Astyanax mexicanus: one gene and its partners. The protein of the gene in region 2 purifies or fractionates together with the protein of the main gene of each other region. This does not show direct contact. Links are inferred from orthologs where the notes say so. Each region holds a gene or a part of one and is shown on either strand. Other genes may lie near its edges. The genes, in order: znrd2, neurl4 and cep97.

Region 1 (6,230 bases), on a different chromosome or scaffold from region 2:
TTAGTGAATTTTGCATATGGTCCTGGAGGACGGTACATAGTTATCAGCAGGAATGAATGTTGGGTTTTGGTGGCAGTAGATGGGCCTGCGACTATAAGGTTAAACAGTTCAAATGACTTAGCTTCAAACTCTGTATTTTGATTTATTCCTATAACTGACGACTACACCACCACCCTGACCAGTCCTGCATGGGTAGATGAAATAGCTAGAACCTGGGGGGAGTGGACTCATTTAGAGCTAAATATCCATCAGTTTTAACCCATGTCTCATAGAGAGTGCATTGTCAATGATAATTTAACCTACAGTAACTGATTAAGGTGCCAGCGATCTTATATTTAACAGCCCCGATTTAATGTGGTTGTTGCTGTAACTCAGAAGGACAGACGAGTTTGTATTAATTCTAATGGAGTTGTTAAAACAGATTTTCCAGCTATTTTGATAACGTGTTTTATTTACACTATTATGAAGAATTGACATACAAATAGTACAAGCAGAAATACCAGCAAACAAACCTACTTGGCTGGTGTGACTGGGTAGAGACAGTCAGTCTCAGCGTAGCACCGCCTCGATGTTCACAGAGAGAAGCCTGTCTCTGTGGAACGGGGCCGGTCGCTCCCGAAAGCTCATCCCCACGTGGAGGGCGATGGTGCCGGGGTTCCTGCTTTGGCAATGCGCCCCAGGGAGCCGCTTGCCGACTACCAGCATGCAAGCATCTGGAAGACATGAAATTGTGCCATTACTCTTAGATACTTTTAAATGTCTAACAATTGAATCTCCTATAATGAGAGTACCGCCCTTGGTAGTTTTCCTCTGTGCTGGGGGAGGCGAGGGCTGAGGACCTCGAACCATTTTGCGGATACCAAATCCTGCTGAGAAAGTTGCAAATTAAATAAATTATTTTTAAAAAATCATAAATTGTGATTTCCGGATTTTTATTATGTCTGTCACGGTGGACATGCACCAAAGATGAAAATTTCAGACCCCTCAATGATTTATAAGTGAGAGAACTTGCCAAGTCGCAGGGTGTTCATTTTCCTCACTGTATATATGTGTGCCTCTAGGTCAACTCAGTTCCACAGAGTTCCACCATGTACCACCTAACTGCCCACTGATTTTATGCTACAGGTGGTTTCCTGCAGACAACTGGTGATGGTCACGGTCTTAGCAAGTGTGCAGACTCCAAGTCTGTGCATTCTGTAACCCAGTTGTTACTGCACCATACACACACTTATATGGAATTCCCAAGGAAATACAGGATTTACAGGAATTGCAAAGGGGAGGAGTCAACAAAGACGCTCTTTGAACCTTTTGCAAAGCTCTATGGGAAACACTTGAAGAACTGGCTCGTTCTTTTCTCACGTCATGCGTTAGTTTGTTTGTTATTCACTAAGATTGATCACTTTCAGGAAAAACACCCCTGTCCTATTTAGTGTGTCATGGTGACCATGTGTAATTACAGTGAGTCTGGAGAAATCCTGCAGTAGTTCTCTCCAGCTTAAAAAAAAGCAAAACTTTTAAAACTGTTATTTTTAGTTTTCTAGTCAGGAATAGACAACTGATTAGGAATTATTTTAGTTCAAAAGGTGGCAATCATTTAAGATAAAGCAAAGGGATGAAAAGTAATGAAGTATTAGTACTTGGTTACTTTACTCAAGGGTATAGAGTTAGCACGGACACCAATATCCAGTGATTTTTTAAATGGTCCCCGCCAACAATTTGATTTGATAATTTGAACCTCGATCTGATAACGCCTGATGTAATTGTTATTATACGTAACACAAATGTTTTAAAAGGAAAGAAATGTATATTTCTTACCTTAACTACTCTATGTATAATGTCACTGCTCAGTGCATCAAGTACTGTTAGGATCCAGGCTGATCCTGCGAGGGGGAGATGCAGCAAGCGCAGACAGAAAACAATACACAAACTTAAAAGCTATTCTGAACTTCAAAATCACTGTTTCACTCCATTGAGGTGTAATACACTGAATAATATTCCTCTCATGTCTGATCTGACCTCCACGGTGTTGAAACGAGGCTGAGAAAGTTCTGATAGCAGGGCACGCAAATACTTACATAGCCTTGTTTTAACACAGTGGAGCCCAGATCAGACATGAGAGGACTTTTATTCTGTATATTACAGCTCAATGGAGTGGAACACTAATTTTTATGGTTGTAAATTTACTTCTTTAAAAATGTATATAAATTAATCAAGAAAATCTTACAGTGTCCCTTAAAGTTTTTAGTGCAGTGGCACAACAAACAATTAAAATAAGAAAGTGGATAAATGCTACATTAAGAGCAAACATATCAAATCAAACGTGTATCAACAGACTTAAAGTCAAAATTAATTACAGAACTGCTGGAAAATAGAATTAATTACCTTGTTAGGTGATTTGATGGGTAAATGATTACACCTAAAAAACAAACAAAACAAAATTACATTCAGTATTGTAAGTTAAGCATTTTCTTTTTTAAAATAAAGGCTGAACTTTAACTTACCATACATCAGATTTGCATCAGACTTTATGTATCCAGATTGAGTTATCCAAAAACTTATTTGCAAATAATGAACAAACTAAACTAAATGAGGCAAGTTTTGTAAACCTAACTATTAATCACTGTTGCAGCAACCTATACAAGGTGGAGCAGGAAAACGTCTGACGAGCTTTATTATAATTAAGCCCAAACACAACTATTTAAGGTTCTAAGAATAACTAAAGTTGTTTATTTTAATAAAAAAAAGGTGTGTTACTCGAGCAAAATGAGTTAACAGCGTTTATTTCAGCTAGTTAGCCTGGTTAGCTTAGCTAGTTATACTAGCTAATACTAGCATAACTAACTGGTATCGTTAACTGAAGCTTTTTGTCAATTTTGCCTACAAATTGACAACAATTAACATTAAATACACAAAAAAACAATTGATATTATCCAACATACACGTGATAAATCAACTTTAGCATATACAAGATTAAAAATGAGCAATAAATGTAATTAAATGACGCTGATAGCTAGTTAGCTAGTTAACTCACCTGAAGCGCAGATTCAGCAGATGTCAGTTGGTCCTCGCGCTGAGTTTGAATTTCTCCCGCTCCTGTGCCGCTCCGCCGATGCGGCCCGGATCCGCAAAACGACACTGAACTGACACTGAACTCACGTCTGGTATCTGACTCCGTGCCGAAGTCATATGGAAGGCGTGAAATGAGACGGACTGTTATGCGGATTTACCGTCAGTAAAACGGATCTGAACGTGAGTCACAATCATAACCCGAACCCGGAGTGAAGCCGGACCAGATCCACTAAACAGACCTGACTGTAGCGCGGATCTGCCGGAGGTAAAACGGATCCGGATCGGAGTAGTCTGCTATCAGGGCAGTTTAGGCTCTCTGGAACTCCCCGTTCCACCCCTAACATCCAGAGATTAATTTCACTCTGATTAGCCACACAGACGCGCGTCTAAACACATCATAAACACTCTATAGGCTACACGTTCACACAGATACAACACCCAACCTCCATACACACAACCGCTCTAACAACACACGTTAGCTTTAGCACGCAGGCTAACCGTGCCGATACTGAAACCAGACGCGAACAGTGGCTAAGTTTAGGATTTCTACTACTCTTACAGAACTGAAGTAAAATAAAAAACCGTATCCAACTCAGAAAATAGTTTAAATAAATGTTCTAAGTGTTTCTAAAGCTGTAAAAGCACCTGCGTTCAGCGCCATGCTCGCCCTCCTGCAGCAAGATGCACCGGCATAGAGCGCAGCTCAGCCAGAGAGAGCGCCGCCTGTAGGACCGGTGCAGGGAGCGATACTGCAACAGTATACGGACACTTGTCACTACCCGATCTGTGCCCCCTGCCCGATTTGTGCCATGCAGAATTTCAGTGAGGGATTAACTGGTGTTAGTTGTTTGACGCATGCAGAACCAGGTACAGGCAGCTGTTATTTATAATACTTTGCTGTGTATTTTAAGAATAAAATTATGTTTTTTTTACACATAAATTCTTTGTTATCTTGAGAAATACTACAACTGGTCAAAGACCACCGCCCCAAGGTAAGCTAATTAAATTTCTAAAATGTCTTATACATCTGTTAATACTAAATTGACAAAGCATAAAATGCACAGTTTATATATCAACTGCTCAAGGACAAAGAAAATTATTTTCTGGTTGATGTTTGTATTTTGTTTGTAATTTAAATTGTAATTTAAATCTAGATTACAGAAAGATAAACTAATAAAATGTGAAGTAGTTTACAGACTTGGTATATGTAAAAATAAATAAATAAATAAAAACACCACAGGCTTATACATTTTAACAAATTCGAATTATAATAAGTTTAAACACCCATCAGTCTATCTAGAACAGGCATGTCAAACTCAGTTTGGCTCTGGGGCCGGATCCAGACTTTCTGTTCTCAGGTGGGCCGGATCAGTAAAAGAATGTCGACTTTCTGTTCTCAGGTGGGCCGGATCAGTAAAAGAATGTCAACTCCAAATATTTAGCTTTGTTTTTCAGTACTATGCTTTATTATTCAGCCTACATTTTTAGCCTACCCTACATATTATAATCATGGATGAAAAGGGATCTTTTCTAAGCACAACACATTTATTCTCTCTCTCTCTCTCTCTCTCTCTCTCTCTCTCTCTCTCTCTCTCTCTCTCTCTCTCTCTCTCTCTCTCTCTCTCTCTCTCTCTCTCTCTCTCTCTCTCTCTCTCTCTCTCTCTCTCTCTCTCTCTCTCTCTCTCTCTCTCTCTCTCTCTCTCTCTCTCTCTCTCTATATCTCTCACTGCATTCCTGCAGTCTACTTGCTGCTGTGGTGAAGCAAGATTGCCGTGTCTGTGCTGCATGCGGGACATTTACTGCCCTCTAGCGACCGGAGAGAGCATTTAATTTGTATTCATTTAAAAAAAATCACAACAAAATCACGAGCTAGAAACTCGCTTCTTTTTTTGACATACTCAGAAATTTATGCCGCGGGCCGTATGTTTGACATGCCTGATCTAGAATTTAGAAAACGGAAGATCTCACAACGCCGAAAACTGTTGACAGCCGTGGCTACCCGGGCTGCGTCCAGAAACTTTTGCTACTCCCAGGCATTTTGGCTGCTATATATATATATATATATATATATATATATATATATATATATATATATATATATATATATATATATAATTTTACAAATATGGGATCATTAATATAGTATAGTATAGTATAGTTCTACTGAGCATACAGCTTATCTAAACAAAAAAATATATTAGTGCTTTACTGGCTGTATAATTAGATAAGGAACCTAGTTATTTAATGTTTGTATTTGTGCATTCCCTTCTCCATTCCCACGTGCTTTGTGGGCGTGGATGCAGTGATGTCATTGGAAAATCCTTAAAAGTCTTCCGGAGTAGGATGCACTGATGTACCCTCCGTTGGAGGCCTACTACAGGTGGATTTTAAGCGGCTTATTTCGTCTTCTACGGTATTCGGACAGGCGGCAAGATGGCGTCACGAAATCAGTTTCCGGGTCACGGAGGAGAGTAGGAGGATCGGTAGGAAATGGAGACACTTTTGGGGTTTCTGGACGCAGCCCCGATCTGTGCCCCCTGCTCAGTTTGCAGTGCGCATGCACGGCACAAATCTGGCAGGGAATACAGATTGGGTAGTGACACAGCCATCGCAGCCTTCCCATCCTTCGAAGGACACACCATCGAAGACCGCATCCTTCAAAGGATGTAGCCCCTGAACTGGGACACACCTAAAGCCACTACCCGATCTGTGCCGTGCCATGTGCACGCATGCGCACTGCAAAATGAGCATGGGCACAGATCTGGTAGGAAATGCCAAGTTGTACTTCCGTCCACACTGTTGCAAACAGCATGTAAATATGGTGTCAAAATAAAGGATTTTAAATTTTACAGAGCTGTGAAGAGTACATTTTAAATTGAGCAAATGAATGAGCAAGGAAGTGGTGTGTGTGTGTGTGTGTGTGTGAGTGTGTTGAGAGGGATGGGGGTTTGCTCTCATGCTCTCTCTGAGAGTAAAATAAACTGATATTTTGATGAATGTGTTATACCTCATTTTTAATGGTTAGTAGCATATTGATACAGGACCACATTTAGAGACATGGTATTTGGTTCCCATTTCTAAACATGAATCACAGAGTTTTGGCAAATTTATGAGCTTGCTGATAAAATGTACCATGCAGAATTTTACAACTGGTCAAAGAC
Region 2 (6,230 bases):
ATTCCACACTGTGTGTATGCAGTTATTAAAGCACTGATTGGTCATTTAGCACGACTGGTTAAAATACTGTTCACCGCTATATATGTAAATAACAAACATATAAAATAAGCTACATAGACCATATCACCATTATTACATATTACTGAGGTTATGTCCATTTATTGTACAATGAGTCGATAATGTGATTGTCAAACAGGCCTACTTAAAAGTGACTGGAATAGCACTGCTGAGGTAAATGTATCACACTTTATTAGTTTGTCTGCTAGGACATTAAAAATATAGCAAAGCTTTGCATTACAAATTACAGTAAAATACACAGCAAAATATGCAGAGACCAAAAGTACATATATTTTTTTAGCTTTCAATCTCATCGTCTGTATCTCAAAGAGTAACTCAACATTACATAATAAAATAAACGTCTAATCTACAGTTTCTCTCTGTATTATTCACTTCTCCTCTCTGTCCTCGGTTTCTGTGCTGTATGTATGTCAGTGTTATAGAGTAAACGGCTGAGTGAATCAGGGCTAAGGAAGGCTGAAAGAAGGACACACGCACTGTGAGAGGTCAGAGTGAGCTCTCTGAGCTGCTTACATAACCGCAACTGTAGAATACTGTACCCTGCAGTCTACAGCAGACTCACTGTCTCTCCCATTCTATTTAAAATCAACCAGGTAGAGTATTAAAAAGAGAAGGCCAAGCTCTGTAAACCGACAGCGCTCAGTGAAGACTTTAAACTGAGGAGCTGTCATAATTCTCATTCTCAGAATTCTCTCTCTTTGAGGAACACAAAAAGACTAGGATGCTCTGAGACAAACCCTTAGGCTATGTTCACACAGCAGGTAAAAAATATATATGTCTTAATGTAAACATGAAACTATATATTTTCAATCCTGATTTGGGCAACTTTAATATGCAGTTGAAATCTGATATATGTCGGATTTCCAGCAATGTCACAGCCAGATTCATTCAGATTCATGCAACTTTTATATCAGGTAAAAGGCTTTTAAGAGACTGGAAACTCTCAATTCTCAAATCAACTGGACCAGGCAATATATTTATATGTGCATCTGAACATCTGTGTCAACAATTGGTGAAACAACAAGCAGTTACATGCATTTATTAGAAGAGTTTACAAAATTCATTGGAGAAAAGTGAAAAATTATGCAAGAAAATGAGGAAAATGCACAAAAGTGTCAGAGTGAAGGTTTCATTGGTGATATAATAAAAGCAAGTGACCTGTGTTTCTAGTTAAACTGTTATTGCTGTAGTGTCAAAGGACAATAAAGAGCTTATAAAAAGTACAGAACACAAACTAAAGCAGTATCCTTAGCTAAATAGCAGCAACCCTTTTTTCCACAAAGAGCTTGTATTCCTGGTTATAAAACCAGCTGCAGGCTGAACTTTGCCTTGTAACGCTGGAGAAGATGAAACTGAAACTTCATGTGAAGCGCTGTTCTTTAGCACAGAAAAGACTGTTCAGACAAATGTCAGATAGAGGTCACACTAAAAACAGTGTAAACAGCCCTAAATAAACATCTGCTGTTTAAATGTATTCTTAGTGCTTCATGCTGAAAATTGCATCACAGTTATCTTGAATGGACATTTGAGATGTTTAGACGTGATTTTTATAACAGCTTGGATTGTACAGACTTTCAATTATTTCAAGGAGAACTAGTTCAAATTAAGCTTAGATGTTCAACCAGTGTATCATACTATCATAATGACCAGAATAGGATCTGTATATCTATGATGTAATGCCCATAAATGTTAGTTTTAAACTTTTGCAATTTGATTTTGTGCATTTACTCATAATATCCAGGACCTGGCAGTTTACAGGAAGCCATTAACTGAGCGCTTTGAAAGAGTTTAAAATCCATAAAAATAAAATAAATCCACTTTCTTAATGCTAGCTTACTCATCATACGAGACAATAACATTGTGCTGCATCCAGAAAATACTCCAGTCCTAGTTTAGTCCTCCAGTTAAGATTCAATATTATTTACAGCATTTTAAAGCATTAACATTTTGTAACATACAAGCCTGCAGGTTCTTCCCCACTGCCATCGGATTCTTGAACCTACTTCAGACAAAATAACCCTGCACCTCACTCTCTACACTTCACTGTAACAATGTTTACAATTGCTCTACTGAACCTTTTGCACTTTTGTCACATCTCACTGCTGTAGATAGTAATGTTCTTCCTTGTACCATAGTTTTCCAACTATAGATGCACCTAAAATCCTTTAATTTTCCCCAAAATTGACAGTGAGCCTTCTAATCCGGTGCTCCTTATGTATGAATTTTACCAGTCAGGTATTAAGGAGCAGTAAAGTCACTCTGCTGAAGTATAGCATTATAAAAGGGTACGTCTTGAGCAAAGTTTCTCCAGCACCAAGGCTGGAGCAGCATTTGCATTAGCAGCCAAGTATATTGGACTGTAGTTTGCGTGTTTACCGTGTTACAGCTACTAGCTACGCGGGACGACCCGCTGGCTGATAGCGCCCTGGGTTTCCAAAACGCTCAGGGTTCCTCAGTGTAGCGTTCTCAGGTGGCATTTACTAGCGCTAAGTGCCACTAACATATTTTAATGCTAAAATAGCTTACTGTAAATAAATGTTAGTGCTTAACTCACACAAATAAACAGGAGATGTTTCAGGAGAGACATCTATGTAGATTAGCACCCAGCACTTGTTTAATTATGTGAATTTAGAAGGGAAACATGGTGAAACCCTTGTTCCTTACTAGTGTCACATACAATGCGCCTTATAATCCCGTGCACCTTATGTATAAAAATAGACTTTTATTGATATTGCACCTTATATATATCCGTGTCTGTAAAATACAGTATAAAATTATTGATGTAAATTTAACAACAATTTAAAATTTGTGAATATTTAGTTAGTATATTATTTCTTTTATTGTATTTTTCATTTTTCTATTTATGAGGTATACTTGGGGAAAAGCAAAGAAAGAATTTTATTGTACAAGGAAATTTGTTTCCTTACTGTGGCAATAAACTGTTTGAATCCTGAATCCTGTCTTATGTCTTAATTAATGTCAGTTAATAAATAGCTGAGGCATTACTGAACCACGTAACAGTGTTTATTAGCGTGATTTTCCTATTATTTTTTGTGAGCCTTAATGTACAGTATTACCCAGATCCGAGAGCTGTTATTCTGTGTTTATTATTTATAAGCTGCCACTGCTCGGCTGTCAGTGAGACTGTTAGCGTTAGATAGCTACTTAGCTTAGCTTAGCGTAGCCTAGCTTTTTAGCATCCAGCTAAAATAGACATAAACATAGAGTAAGGACAGCCAGTTAATCTCCTGTTACTTTAAAAAGTGTGTATTTATCAATAACCGAGTATGTAAATAAGCTTTAAATATTGTATTCATCAGCTAAATTGTTAACTAGTAAAGGTTAATTAACTAGTTAGTTAGCTAGCTAACCCAGCCTGCTAACTAATTAGGCTGTGCTAGATCTAGCTAAGCTAAGCTAAGCTAGCTATCTGATCGAGCAGCAGCAGCTAACAGATAGCTAGCAAGTTAGCTAGCTAACTAACATAGCTAATACATGATAATATAACCTCTTTACCTTAAAATAAAGCACTGAAATAAGAAATGCAGCTGTAATATCTGAATTTTCGAGCACAAATCAATCATATGCGTGTTAAAGCGCATCATCAACTAAGCACATTTCGCTGCTCATCGGTGACCAAATACCAATTTTCCGTTCCACCTTAAATTTCGCACTGCTTACAGCCTAGCAACAGCGCTGGCGCCGGGCTGCGACTACTGCAATATTTAAGGTGGACCGGACAACTCCGCTAGAGCTAAGCAGCCAACTCCAGCCGCCCCGTTTTTCTCTCCCGCACAGCGATTTACCTTCTTGTCAATCCGAACTGTGAAGACGTCCCGGTCCCGCAGCGGCTCCCGGCTGAGCACCAGGCCGTGGTTAAACTCCTGCACGGGCTGGTTCCGCTGCGCGGTCCGGTTCGAGTTGGACAGACCGATGAGCTTCCCGCTGCGCGGATGCAGCTCCGCCGCCATGATCGCGCTGGGGCGGCCCAGTACTGATGGGGCGGTCGCGAACGATCCGGCTCTAAGAACCGGCTCTTTGAATTGAACCACGGGGGAATCGACTTCTGATTCTGCACCGATTAGGTCTCTCACGATATATCAGAAAATATTGCGATAAACGATATTATTGTCATTTTAAGACCATATAAATACCACTGACATATTGTTAATAGAATAGCACAATAAAGCAATTATACCCTTCTAAAGACAACAAAATTCGAAATTAATCATAGTTTGTAAAATAAATACTTTTTTCTTCACCTACTGCAGAATTCCACACTGTGTTTATGAAGTCACTAAATCAGAGTTATTAAAGCACTGATTGGTCATTAAGCATGACTGGCTAAAATACTGTCCATGCCATCATAAAGCCTTTTACAGTCAACAAATTTGTCATTAATCATAAAAGATGTCAAGTAATGAAGTGTAAATACCTTCTTATTACCTTATCTATACTTCACTTTTTACTTCTACTCCTTACATTTTCACTCAATTATCTGAACTTTCTACTCCTTACATTTTAAAAATAGCCTTGTTACTCCTATTTTGTTTTAGCTTGTTTTTCAGCTTTTTTACATTATATTTTAAGTAGTTTTGAAACCAGAACTTTTACATTTGAACTTGAGTAAAAAGCTTGGGTTGAGGCTCCACATTCTACAGAAGTATTTTAAACCCAAGTATCTATACTTCTTCCTACCGAGTAATTAATGTTAATATTTTCACACCTTTAAAGACAACACATTTGTAATTAATCATAGTTAAGGAAATATATAGCTAATATTTTTATTCACCTACTGCAGTCCACACAGGGTATATGGAGCCACAGTTATTTAAGCATTGGTTATTGAGATTGTCTAAAATACTAAACATAAGCTAACTAAACACAAATGTTCTTATTTGTTGTGCTATGTTTCAGTTTTATAGTTATTTGGTTGTAGATCCAAAGCCTGATCAACTGAGGTGGTTTGGGATGCAGCAACTATTGTTCAGCACCTCCAGGAACTTCAAGATGCTGAGAAAACTATTCCAGGTGACTCTACCTCACCTCTACCACACTGAGATAAAAATACCAAGAGTGTGCAGATCTGTCCTCAAAGATTAATGTGCTACTTAGAATAATCTAAAGTATAAAACATATTATGGTTTGTTTAACAGTTTTTATTACATAATTCCACGTGTTCCTGTACAGCTTTAATATAGTCTTAAAAAGAAAGAAAACACAATGAATTAGAAAAGGCAACAAAAAAAGTGGAGCTGAAAGAGTCAGCTCTTTTTAGTGAGCCGAGCCAAAAGAACAGACTCTCTAAAAAGAGCTGGAATTCCCATCACTAGGGTAAGGGGCGTGTTTACAACAGAGAACCAGCGCTGGCAGGGAGGGTGTGCTGCCAAATGTTGTCACAGAGAGGCGACTGTGAACTGAAATGAATACTGTATATCTTTAGAAATAATGCTTAATATTCATTTTAAAAAAAGGTCAACAAAGGTTGTAAATCTTCGTTATAAAACACACAATGCCCTTGAAGCATTTCAAAATGAAATCACTTACAATGGTCACATTCTTTATTTTATTTTATTTTATTTTATTCTAAGACTGTAATTAAATTGAATCATCTTGTTTGCACAGGCCAGTTAACATTGAGACATTCTTGTGTGTTATTAAAAAATAAAAGCCCTGTAAAAGCCCACATTTCTATTATTTTCACTGAATTTTGATCTTTTTATTAAAAGGAATCCTTCTTTTTGCACAAACCAGTTGCTGAGCAGCATTCAGAAGCAGCTCAACTGTGTGATTTGTAGTGTTCGTTAGCCTGTGGGGATTGTGCATCCTTTTTGATGAAGTGGAAACTAAACCCCCTGATTTTAAATCACTCCACCCTCAGCTCAAACCTAAAAAAAAATATTTAAAAAAATGAGAGTAGTAGTTTAGGAGGTGCCAATGGGTTTAGGGGTGGGAAAGAAGGGAGAGCTGATTGGGCCGAGGGGTGTACCTCTGTAGCGCTAAGATGCAGATGGTTTGACGTCACATGGGTGGAGTATATATGCACAAGACAGATATATTCCACCAACTCTCTTTATGTTCTTCCACAGTCGATTTTGGTTACTTTGCTTACTGCTGCTGCTGTTGATGTTGCCCAAGCAGGTAAGAGAGGC
Region 3 (6,230 bases), on a different chromosome or scaffold from region 2:
TGTATTTCCCACCACCAAGATAGAAACACACCAGATATTTACCTGAACACACCTCACTTCCTGACCACCACACCCATCGGCGTAGTAAGTATGTCTACATTCTGTTAGCTGGGTGTAAGATAGCAATGAGTACCCATTTGCACTGGGTGTACAATAGGGCCCTATGTGTTACTTAAAGAACCAAGGATTCTACCACTGGGCCTGAAAGGATCTTGTGTTTTGGCAAGAACCTTGTAAATAGCATACTCAACCCGATTATAATTCAGTATTGTACGATATATTACAATACTGTAAACAAGGCAAAGTATTGCAATATTTTTCAAATCATATTTTAGGAAAAATGTCTTTAAATAAATGTCTTAAAAAAAAACACCATTAGAAACATTCAGAAAAGTGAGATCTAATGGCAGAATTGCTAGAATCTAGTGTGCAGGGTTTAAATACAACACATTTTAAACCACTGAACTGAAACTTTCCATGTACACTAATAATTAAAAATCAATACTGGGATTTTAATAATCCATATAGTATTTCAAACCCTAATATCACAATACACCTCTAACAGATTTATACAATCAGTCCCCACTGAAAACAGAAACTTACAAAAATGTTTGGGAGTTCATGTAAACATCAAGAAAGCATGTACATTATCATATCATTGCTGTCATGTAAAATCATTGTATCTCCAAGACAATTACTTTATAGGAGAAAGAAAAAGATCAAGACAATATAGAAATACTTTATTCCAAGTCATTTGGAGTGTTTCTATTTAGACACAAGGTAAAAAAAAAAACTGTCAAAACGGGAAAACAAAAAAGGAGACTTTTGACTATGTATATCAACAGCAGCAACAAACATAGTTTTTTATTTTTATTAATACAATATTGCAAATATAAGTCTAGTGTAGGGGTGTGCCATCTTGTACCGTACGCAATAATATCACCAACATTTTTGAATATTATAAAGAATATTATACCATGAAATATCCACCCACTAATCACCCACTAGCATGAAGTGCTGTAAGATTTTCGGTGAAAACACTGCGCTGACTTTAGACTTGATAAAACACAGTGGATCAACACCAGCAGATGACATGTCTCTCCAAACCATCACTGATTGTAGAAACTTCACACTAGAGCTCAAGCAGCTTGAACTGTGTTTCTCTCCACTCTTCCTCCAGATTCTGCTTCCTTGATTTCCAAATGTAATGCAATGCAATGCAATGCAATTTACTGACGGTCAGTGATGTTTGGAGAGTCATGTATTTTGCTGGTGTTGGTCCACTGTGTTATATCAAGTCCAAAGTCAGTGAAGTGTTTTCCCAAAAAATCTTACAGCACTTTGTTAACAACTTTTATGGAGATACGGATTTCATTTTCCAGCAGGGTTTTATTTGGATTTTCAGTGACTGTAAGCCATAATCGTCACCAATAAATGAAATAAACGCTTAAAACAGAACACTCTGTGTGTAATACATCTACAGTTGTGGTCAAAAGTTTACATACACTTGTAAAAAAACATAATGTTATGGCTGTCTTGAGTTTTCAATAAGTTCTACAACTCTTATTTTTCTGTGATAGAGTGATCGGAACACATACATGTTTGTCACAAAAAACAGTCATAAAATTTGGTTCTTTCATAAATTTATTATGGGTCTGCTGAAAATGTCACCAAATCTGCTGGGTCAAAAATATACATACAGCAACAAAAATTGTCAATTTTGGTGATGTAGCGAGTTGTGTCAATCAAATTAGCTTCATGTCATGGCCTCTTCACTTCTTGTAAGTGATTCTGATTGACTACAGCTGTTGACTTCTCATGAGCCCATTTAAATAGGGCTCATTTGACCCAGTGATTAGACTCAGCTACAAAAGCTACAATGGGAAAGTCAAAGGAACTCAGTGTGGATCTGAAAAAGCGAATTATTGACTTGAACAAGTCAGGGAAGTCACTTGGAGCCATTTCAAAGCAGCTACAGGTCCCAAGAGCAACTGTGCAGACAATTATACGCAAGTATAAAGTGCATGGAACAGTTGTGTCACTGCCACGATCAGGAAGAAAACGCAAGCTATCACATGCTGCCGAGAGGAGATTGGTCAGGATGGTCAAGAGTCAACCAAGAATCACCAAGAAGCAGGTCTGCAAGGATTTGGAAGCTGATGGAACACAGGTGTCAGTCTCCACAGTCAAGTGTGTTTTACATCGCCATGGACTGAGAGGCTGCCGTGCAAGAAAGAAGCCCTTGCTCCAGAAAAGGCACCTTAAGACTCGGCTGAAGTTTGCTGCTGATCACATGGACAAAGATAAAACCTTCTGGAGGAAAGTTCTCTGGTCAGACGAAACAAAAATTGAGCTGTTTGGCCACAACACCCAGCGATATGTTTGGAGGAGAAAAGGTGAGGCCTTTAATCCCAGGAACACCATGCCTACTGTCAAGCATGGTGGTGGTAGTATTATGCTCTGGGGATGTTTTGCTGCCAGTGGAACTGGTTCTTTGCAGAAAGTAAATGGGATAATGAAGAAGGAGGATTACCTCCAAATTCTGCAGGAAAACTTAAAACCATCAGCCCGAAGGTTGGGTCTTGGGCGCAGTTGGGTGTTCCAACAAGACAATGACCCAAAACACACATCAAAAGTGGTAAAGGAATGGCTAAACCAGGCTAGAATTAAGGTTTTAGAATGGCCTTCCCAAAGTCCTGACTTAAACCCCATTGAGAACATGTGGACAGTGCTAAAGAAACGGGTTCATGCAAGAAAACCATCACATTTAGCTGAACTGCACCAATTCTGTCAAGAAGAGTGGTCAAACATTCGACCTGAAGCTTGCCAGGAGCTTGTGGATGGCTACCAAAAGCGCCTAGTTGCCGTGAAAATGGCCAAGGGACATGTAACCAAATACTAATGTTGCTGTATGTATATTTTTGACCCAGCAGATTTGGTGACATTTTCAGCAGACCCATAATAAATTTATGAAAGAACCAAATTTTATGACTGTTTTTTGTGACAAACATGTATGTGTTCCGATCACTCTATCACAGAAAAATAAGAGTTGTAGAACTTATTGAAAACTCAAGACAGCCATAACATTATGTTTTTTTACAAGTGTATGTAAACTTTTGACCACAACTGTATATAACATATACATTTCCTATTTTGAACTTAATTACTGAAATGACTTCTGACCTTCAGCAGAATTACAGAACCTTAAACCTACAAACACCTTAAAATGCCTTTACAGTGTTTCCAGTAGAAGATATACTCGATACAAACTATAACTTACATACCTACAGATATGAACTGAACAGGTTACATAAAGCGAATAAAGCTCTGACAGATTAATCCCTCGCTTCTAGCTAACAGCAGTAACTGCTAACACGAACAATACAGCTGCGTTACCGACAGTACACACACACAGCTTGTCAACACGAACCTAACGATAACAGACACTCAGGCTAAGCTAGCGCAGCAGTATAACTACTCAATACTAGAGGTGACTAACTCAGGTCCGGTTGGTAAAAATCCACCCCAGGGTTTTGTACAAACTGCCTGTGCCTGTGTGTAGCTCAACTGCAGAAGAGCCATCCAGGCCGTTGGTACAAAATCCTGGGATGGAATTTTACTTTCCGGACCTGGGTTAGCCATATTTCTTTACTTTCTGGATCTGGGTTAGCAACCTCTACTCAATACCAGAAATGCGTCTATCCTTATATCACAGCACTGCCTCAGGTATCATTAATAAACCAAAATATCATAAACACGCCGGTTACAAATCCCAGCACAGCTCCGTACCTTCATAATTAGTCATTTGTGTGACCGGATCAGATACGATAGCTCGCCTCTCCGTCGCCGCCATGCTTCCCGCTTGAGTCGTCCACCGCCAGGCAACCGACGGCAAATCTGATTGGTTGATTTAATTAAAATTTAAAAATATTTTTGCACATTTTTGCGAGACTCTGCTTCAAAATACGATTCCAGCTGTGTGGTCCTTTTGCGTAAATATGACGTTTTCACCAAGTCGGTATCTTTATAAACCGGATACCCACAATTCCTTTTCCTCTTCCCTGTCGGATTCGCCGCCATGAAGTAAGCGCAGTCCCGAATAATCCGTAAACATCTACCTCTAAATCCATTAAATATCCGTGTTTTTTTGGTCCGGGGGTGAATTAAAAGTATGTTATTTAGATATTCTTGTGATATTTGTGACTTGCAGGGTCGACTTGTGCAGTTTCAGCGGGTACAAAATCTATCCCGGCCATGGCCGGCGATATGCCAGAATCGACGGAAAGGTAACGCTTAGCTACACTGAACCGAACACGCCACAGAGTTGTTATTCATTTCACACTTATTTATACGTGTTTTATAATGTAATGTAGCTTAATGTAATCAAACATTGTGTTCTCATTGGTTGCAGTGTGCTGTTTGAAATCTGACTAAACTAGTGGTAGTTTATTTAGTTGGTGGCTAACTAGCTTAGCTAGCTTGCTTCAACCCGGCCTGTGGACGCCACGGGCAGCTTCTGTACAGGTCAACTTAGCTAATGCGCTGTGTAATGGCTGTTTGGCCAAAACTAACTTAAGTTACCGTTTTTGTTTGGGTGTAACGAGACTACTATGGTGGCTTTGCTGTACCAGTAGGGTATTTAGCTAGCTAGCTGGCTAACCAGGTCCCGGTGCTTTTGGCTGGGTTTCTGAACTAACTAACTAACTTAACTGACTGCCTTTTAAGATGTTTGTAGAAATGTTGACAAGTCAGCTCCACTTGTAACGTGGCTAGTTAATAGTGTGCAGTGTATAATTATTATTTTAACTGGGACCCAGACATGTGTATCTAACCTAGTTAGCTAAGTAACTACAAACCCACTCAGAGCCCATGCCTATCTAGAACCCTCCTAGCCTTGCCCATGTCCAGGGTTCATACAGGCATGAAAAACCTGGAATAGTCCTGGAATTTGAAAACAGGAATTTCTAGGCCTAACTACGTTTTTTTTGGATAAATAAAATACCCTTAAGTTTTGTAAAAGTCATTTTGGGTACAATTCTGTGTTTATTGATGGAGATAATTGAGCTAATATGCATCAGCTCAGAATTAATTTTGTAATTTAGTCCTACATAATGAAGCTCAGGATCTGACACACATTTTATTATTAAAATTGTCAGCATTTATTAGGTATATTTTAGGCCTACTATAATCAATTTGCCTTGTCTTGAAGATGCAGAAAAGTCATGGTACATAAGACAAATATTGTATATAGTGTAGGTAACACATGCACAGTTCCTTTAGGCAGCACGAATCGATGGGTATCATGCGAGTCCCACATGAGTAGTTTTGTTGGCCGAGTATATATTCAGGATAAGGGTCTACCCACTGGTAATATATTTACTTTTTGCTAGACACCCTGACTGGGTTGCACTTGTTTTGCGCAAGTTATTTTCTTTAATTTGTTTGTAAAGTCTCTACCAAGTCTTGTTACTGCTAGTTGGCTTTTTACTATCCTTTCATTAATATGGTTGCACCACAAATGCATGTCATATCTTAACTAGTAACAACTAATAACTTGTGCGCTGAGTAATAATTGTCACTTTTACATGAAGGAAAAAACTGACAATCTACGTGTTGCCATGGAAATGTGGTTGATCATGACGGATGTTTTATCGATGACCGTTTTAAACAGCCTTAACAGCATTACTCTGTTAGTGCTAGTGTGGATCGTGTGGTCATGCCTCTTCAGCCTTGGGGCCATTTGGACCCCAGCAATTCAAACCAGCCAAAAATGATTTTAACTAATTTTGTTGGTAAAATCTGTGCCACGGGATTAGTGGTTCTTGCATTACAACATCACTACATAGTGTTGTTGGCTTAGGTCATACTAATCTCACTATTTCCTCAAATGTGTGAAACATTTTATTTCTTATAGCAAAAATAGCTAAAACAGCCTGGGGTCAAACTGGCCACTCAAATAACTAATTTTGTATGGTGCATAAATATGTACAGGACTTCGAAATTGTAAAAGTATTAACTTTACTTACGTGCACTGAGATCTGTTGGCTCATCACAACAAGAGGAGCCAAATCTTTCAGCTCATCTTTTACCTACTTTGTAGAGGTGTGCCAAAAAATCGATTCACATAAGAATCTTGATTCTCATTTACTACGATTCAGAATCGATTTAAAATGTCCCAAAATCGATTCTAAGGTCCAATCCCATTTCTTCCCTTGGCCCTACCCCTCACT

What was found.
Region 1: the proteins of neurl4 (region 2) and znrd2 purify together in Homo sapiens (co-immunoprecipitation; 4 studies listed by BioGRID and IntAct, with this or other methods). This does not show direct contact. The link is inferred for Astyanax mexicanus from reciprocal best matches to the Homo sapiens genes NEURL4 and ZNRD2.
Region 3: the proteins of neurl4 (region 2) and cep97 purify together in Homo sapiens (affinity purification with western blotting; 4 studies listed by BioGRID and IntAct, with this or other methods). This does not show direct contact. The link is inferred for Astyanax mexicanus from reciprocal best matches to the Homo sapiens genes NEURL4 and CEP97.

The regions. Positions count from the first base shown.
Region 1 is NC_064427.1:12,651,299-12,657,528, reverse strand, and holds the start of znrd2 (protein ZNRD2), read right to left. Parts: upstream 3,823-6,230; 5' UTR 3,731-3,822; coding exon 3,715-3,730; intron 3,694-3,714; exon of another isoform or gene 3,032-3,693; intron 2,417-3,031; exon of another isoform or gene 2,383-2,416; intron 1,881-2,382; exon of another isoform or gene 1,816-1,880; intron 870-1,815; exon of another isoform or gene 513-869; intron 1-512. UniProt on the Homo sapiens protein: Might play a role in mitosis. Antigenic molecule. Could be a centromere-associated protein. May induce anti-centromere antibodies.
Region 2 is NC_064422.1:43,802,957-43,809,186, reverse strand, and holds the start of neurl4 (neuralized-like protein 4), read right to left. Parts: upstream 4,077-6,230; 5' UTR 4,050-4,076; coding exon 3,885-4,049; intron 1-3,884. UniProt on the Homo sapiens protein: Promotes CCP110 ubiquitination and proteasome-dependent degradation. By counteracting accumulation of CP110, maintains normal centriolar homeostasis and preventing formation of ectopic microtubular organizing centers.
Region 3 is NC_064428.1:19,874,848-19,881,077, forward strand, and holds the start of cep97 (centrosomal protein of 97 kDa), read right to left. Parts: upstream 4,029-6,230; 5' UTR 3,854-4,028; coding exon 3,790-3,853; intron 1-3,789. Other genes in the region: rpl24 (60S ribosomal protein L24), read left to right, coding at 4,079-4,083, 4,211-4,286. UniProt on the Homo sapiens protein: Acts as a key negative regulator of ciliogenesis in collaboration with CCP110 by capping the mother centriole thereby preventing cilia formation. Required for recruitment of CCP110 to the centrosome.